2 linked regions of the Yarrowia lipolytica genome follow. The protein of the gene in region 2 interacts with the protein of the main gene of each other region in a biochemical or structural test. Links are inferred from orthologs where the notes say so. Each region holds a gene or a part of one and is shown on either strand. Other genes may lie near its edges.

Evidence for each region. The genes of interacting proteins can lie anywhere in the genome.
Region 1: the proteins of YALI1_B02375g (region 2) and YALI1_E05994g form a complex in vitro, tested with the Saccharomyces cerevisiae proteins (2 studies listed by BioGRID, with this or other methods). The link is inferred for Yarrowia lipolytica from reciprocal best matches to the Saccharomyces cerevisiae genes YME1 and TIM9.

What each region holds. Positions count from the first base shown.
Region 1 is NC_090774.1:598,716-600,828, forward strand, and holds YALI1_E05994g (uncharacterized protein), read right to left. Parts: upstream 841-2,113; coding exon 763-840; intron 686-762; coding exon 506-685; downstream 1-505. Other genes in the region: YALI1_E05975g (uncharacterized protein), read left to right, coding at 1-271; YALI1_E06015g (uncharacterized protein), read right to left, coding at 1,800-2,113. UniProt on the Saccharomyces cerevisiae protein: Mitochondrial intermembrane chaperone that participates in the import and insertion of multi-pass transmembrane proteins into the mitochondrial inner membrane.
Region 2 is NC_090771.1:236,295-240,052, reverse strand, and holds YALI1_B02375g (uncharacterized protein), read right to left. Parts: upstream 2,462-3,758; coding exon 335-2,461; downstream 1-334. Other genes in the region: YALI1_B02415g (uncharacterized protein), read left to right, coding at 1-118. UniProt on the Saccharomyces cerevisiae protein: Catalytic subunit of the mitochondrial inner membrane i-AAA protease supercomplex required for mitochondrial inner membrane protein turnover. The protease is probably ATP-dependent. Important to maintain the integrity of the mitochondrial compartment.

The sequences.
Region 1 (2,113 bases), on a different chromosome or scaffold from region 2:
TGCGTCTTTCTTCACACACCCTGTCAATCCCAACAGTGCGCCCAACTACTACGAGTTGATCTTTTCGCCGACGGACATCCGGACCATCAAGGCCCAGGTCAAGGACGGACGTATTTCATCCACTTCTGAGCTTGAACGTGAGGTCGCCAAGATGTTTGCCAACGCCATCATGTACAACCCTTGGGACTCTGATGTAAACCTGTGGGCTCGAGAGATGCAGCAGGAGACTGATGCTCTCTTGACCTTGTTTCGGGGAGCAGGTGGGGAGTAGAACATAATTACGATTGATAATGATTACAAATGTATAACACCATGTTTGCAGTTGCAACTAAAGTGGTGCAGCTATGAGTGGCACAGTCCAGTATGATCAGACTCCGGGCAGATGATGATAGTGATGCAGAATAAATACAATATCAAAGTACAACAAGGGCAACATCAAACACAATCATTGGGGTTGCACCGCCTCATCTAGTAACTCGAACAGGGATCAATTAATATGTACATTTTATCTCTTCTGCATAAGAGCAGCGTTCTGTTCCTGGAATCTCTGGCCGACTCGTTCAGAGTGCTTGAGGAACTTCTCGGAGCACTTCTCGAGACAAGACTCTTCTCGGGAAGACAGAGCCTTGGAGGTGAAGTCGTTGACACAGTCAGTGAAGCATCGCTGGACGAGAGAGGAGTAGAGCTGGGTTAGTATGTGTGGTGTGGTGTTGTGTTCTGTTCTGTTGTCGTGGTTGTCATCAAGAAATTTGGAATACTCACTCGCATGAAATCCTTCATCTGCTTCTGCTCGACGAGCTGCTGGAACTCCTGCTGTTCTCGGTTGTTCAATTGATCCATCTTGTGTTGTGATTTGGGTGACTGATGTGTGTGATTGTCTTGAGCAACAACGAATACTTTTCACTCCCAGGTGGAAAAGGGTATCACGTGTCGAGTTTATTTTCCAGAGAGGGGCGAGTGTGATTGGGCTGAAATATGGCGTTCAAAGGCTTTTCAGAGTCCCGTGAGCATATAATATCATTGTGCACTGTTGAAATAACTACATCTTCTCATTCTTCTGATATTTCGCCCTCAATGAACCGCTGCACTCCTATTGCCACTCATCACCAAATCTCGGTATGAACCTTGTAGAGTTCGGAGAAGCTGGGAGAATCACGGCTTCAAGAAGTCTCATAAACACGCAATTTGAGCGGTATTGAAAATCTAACATTTTAGTTGGACTCATCTTATCGCAAGTACCGACCAAAAAACTTGAAATTCTCGATTTTGCGCGCCGAAACATCATGTTCAACGCACCTTCTTATGCACTCTTTATCACGGTGATATAGTTGTTCAGTATTTCTACAAGTACAAGTTCTGGTAAAAACCTATAACCTTACCCAACTCCATCACACCCAGTGAAGAAATATGCCTCACTGAATCCTCAAACAAAACACCTTGACCAGCGAATATGTGGAATGTCCATCTTTAGAATACACAAACACACTCGTACAAGTACCGTACCAGCCACATACTTCAAATACACTTCTCTATCACAATATTCCCTTGCTTAAACACATTGCTACAAGGGTTAAACCACAGGGTGCCATCTTACAGTATATGTATCGTACAGTGGTTAAGATTAGTTTATCTCCGGATCATCAGAGTTAATCATACCCATAGATACAGCTGCGGAAAGGCGATTGTTATACAGCATGGCACATTATTACAAGAACCGTGTACATCCACACTAAATCCATCACACCCACTACTCATCAATAATTCGTTCAATGTCATAATATCATCTAAATCATACATAATTACTGGAGCTTGTTGATAACAGCCATGGTGAACTCGTCAGTAGTGGAGTTGCCGCCAAGATCGGGGGTTCGGACCTGGCCCTCAGCAAGAACGTCGTAGGTAGCCTTGGAGATGACGTCAGCGAAGTCATCGAGGTTGAGGTGTCGCAGAAGCATGGCGGAAGACAGAATCATGGCGGTGGGGTTAGCGGTACCTCGGCCCTTAATGTCAAGACCGACGTGTCGGCAACCGGGCTCGAAAACGGCGTGCTCGGTACCCAGGTTGACACCAGGGACGAGACCGGGGCCTCCAACAAGACCGGCACCAATGTTAG
Region 2 (3,758 bases):
CAAGCTGACCTACCTGCGGGTCTTTGATGCCGGCCATATGGTTCCTTTCAACCAGCCCGAGACTTCTCTGGATATGGTCAACCGGTGGATCGCTGGTGACTACGCTTTCAAGGGTTAGCTTTATGATATAATGAATGACAATACCAGATACAAGTATGACGTTTTTGGTCCAGCTCATGTATTATATTACGAGATTAGATGATGCGAATGTACACTACCGGTACAGTATGTACAACTACAGTACAGTTGGCATCAGCAGCGTGGTGCCGCCAATGCTCCTCAATGTGAATATTTACAATACAGCTCCTATAAAAACGTTACTCCTCCTATGCATCTACGCCGACTTTGCGCTGGCGGCGCCGGCACCTATTCGGACGCCGTCGTCGTACGACCGGTCCTCCTGGTCCTCGTCGTCATCCTTGCTCTTCTTGGAGCCTCGGTTGTCCCGGATATCCTTGGACTTGACGACCGTCACAGATAGACCCTTTTCTCGGGGCAGTTTCTCTCCCTTGACCACCTGCTTGATTTCCTCAGCAGTGAGGGTCTCGTAGTCGAGCAGCGACTGCGCAAGGCGATGCAATTCCGGCAGCTTTTCCGTGAGCAGCTCACGCGACCGTTTTTCCGAGTTGAAGAGAATCTTCTGAATCTCGCCCTCGGCCAGCTGCTGCAGATGCTGCGACCACTGCTCGTCACCAAACGACATGGGTCCCACTGCGTCGGACATGCCGTAGGTGGTGACCATATGCTTTGCCATGGACGTGGCCTGTCGGAGGTCGGAAGAGCAACCACCGGTCACATTCTCGGCACCGTTGATAAGCTCCTCGGCAATCTTGCCTCCCATGCACACGTCGACACGAGCAAACATCTCCTGCTTGGTCATGTCGTACTTGTCCAGCTCGGGAAGCTGCTGAACAAGACCCAGGGCCTGGCCTCGGGGCAGAATGGTCGCCTTGTAGATGGGGGTGGCAGCGGGGCTGTACAGCGCCATCAGGGCGTGTCCGGCCTCGTGGTAGGCGGTGTTTCGGATCGACTCCTCGGTGAGCACCATCTTGGATCGGGCGGCTCCCATCAGAATCTTGTCTTTGGCCCACTCAAAGTGAGACATGTCCACGGACAGCGCCTTCTCCTTGGATGCCTGGATGGCGGCCTGGTTGACCAGGTTCATGAGCTCGGCTCCGGAGAAACCAGAGGTACCTCGAGCAAGCACTGAACAGTCAACCAGAGGGGAAGCCTCGACCTTCTTCATATGGTGCTTCAGAATGGCGATTCGGCCTCGCACATCGGGAAGCTCCACGTTGACCATCTTGTCGAAACGTCCAGGTCGGGTCAGAGCCTTGTCCAGCATCTGGGGGAAGTTGGTGGCGGCAATAATCACAATTCCGGTGGAGGGAGAGAAGCCGTCGAGCTCGATAAGCAGCTGGTTGAGAGTCTGCTTGGAGTAGGCGTGGTCCTTGGGGTTTCGCTTGCCTCCGATGGCGTCCAGCTCATCAATGAAGATGATGGCAGGAGCCTTGGCTCGGGCCTTCTCAAACAATTCTCGAACACGTTTGGCTCCCACGCCGACGTACATTTCGTCAAACTCAGATCCAGAAACAAAGTAGAAGGGGACATCGGCCTCACCGGCCACGGCTCGTGCCAGCAGAGTCTTACCTGTTCCGGGGGGTCCAGTCAGCAGCACGCCCTTGGGCAGCTTGCCACCCAGACCGGTGAACTTGGAGGGGTCCTTGAGGAAATCGACAATCTCTTCCAGCTCGCCTCGGGCCTCGTCCACGCCGTGCACGTCCGAAAACTTGACGGTGGACTTGGAGCCGTCGGTGGGGTCCATGAGCTTGGAGTTGAATCCGGAGGTGCCGGATCCCTTGAGCAGCGACGACTCGGCCAGCAGCTGCATGCTCTGCCAGACCATGTAGCCGATAAGGGCAAGGGGCAGGATGAATCGGATCCATTTGGTGACTGCGGAGGCGGTGGTTTCCTTGAGGATGACGTGGACGGGGTCTGATCGCGTGCCCTTTTGTCCGTTTCCGGCCAAGTTGCCGCCCAGCAGTCGGTGTTCCATGTTCTCGGCCTTGTCGTGCTGGCCCTGCGATTTCAGCGCCGCCACGTAGAGCTTGTCGCAGTCGGCGTTACGGGCCACGCCGGGCGATTCGTACCGCTGCACCACCACATGGGGGTAGTTTGTGTTGATCAGCGCCTTGTAGAAGTCCAGCTGGGCCTGGGGGTTGTTGAGCGAGCGGTTGGCAGCCTGTTCCTTTTCGGCCAGCACGTGGGTCGGCACCGTGTCGGAGAGAAACCCGGGTTTAAGAGACGACCAGTTGAAGGAGCGGCACGAGACCGGCACAGGCGAGAGCGAGTTGTAGGGGGTCCAAACGGACCGTTTCAGAGCGTGCGGTCGCAGCAGCGGGCTGGACATGAGCCCGGGCGACCGTGTCACACTCCTCAGTCCTGCAAAGAGGCTTTTCATGTGGAATATGTCGATGTGTGTGTGGGGTTGAGTGTGGTGTAATGAGTAAGGAGGGTACAAGTAGTCACCAAGAGGGTCGTTTGAGGTGGCGAGATGAACTTTGTTTTGCAAGATGGATTTTTCTGTCAAGTACTTGTTGACGAGACCCAGGGAGGCTTACTTGTATGAAAGAGACCAGCTGGGTGGCAAAGCAGGAGCCCTAAAAGACGAGCGATGACGGGCTTGTTTCAGAGCAACTTTCCCCGGTGGCAATAGCGACACTTATAAGCACTGGGTATTCCCCGCGAATATGAAGCACCACCGGGACTCGAACTGAGGCATTACTGAAGGCAACAGATGTCAGGCGGGGGATTGCTTCCGAAACATTTAGAAGGTTCTGGGAAATGGGCTGCTCCGCCACGTGACGCGTCTCGGAGATCCGGCGAACGAGACCTGAGGAGAGGAGAGCGAAGAGAATCTGTGTTTTTCGACGAGTTTCGACGAGTTTCGACGAGTTTCGACGAGTTTCGACAAGTTTCGACAATTCTCGACGAGTTTTGACGAGTTTCAACGAGCTTTCTTTCAAGAACAACCAGCAAAAACCGTCAATTTTGGAGCTCTTGGACTCTCACAGCAATGAGCAAATACAACTATGTAAAATGATACATCCAGCCAGTGACGTAATAAGCTAATAGGTGTGGCGTTGAACAACTACGAGGCGAGAGGCGGTGGGTGGGTCACGTGACCAGGGAAAAGGGATCTCGGAGGTGTGTGGTCATGACTTTCTGTTTGATATCTGTGTTCCACTGCCCATATATCTCTTGGATGATATCTCGCATCGATATCTACTTGTATAATCTCGCATCGACATCTCAAGTCGGCTGCGTATAGTCTGTCAGAGATTTGAGCAGTGACTGAATGATAAAAATTTACATTTTTTGACATTTTTTGACATTTTTAGATTCCTCTCGAACAATAGAATCGAATGGTCAACTCCATTTTCCAATCGAACCTCTCCATCTCCTACAAAATACACTCTAGAAAGGTGGACTGAAATGAAAGGTACAACTTACAGTATATAAACTGTACATACTGGAGTGAACATGACAATACGTACATGTACAGTGCCACACTCAGATCGCTGGTTTCTGGCCAAAAACGATCAAAAAAGTGGAAAAAATACTCCCCCAATCTTCAGCTATTCACAGAACTAGTTTTCAGACAAAAACTCGCCTTCTATGCTGTTTCCGAACAAGACCGATTCCCTCTCCAAATCACCTCACTATCACTCATCGGCGAAACTCTATTTCAAAACTTA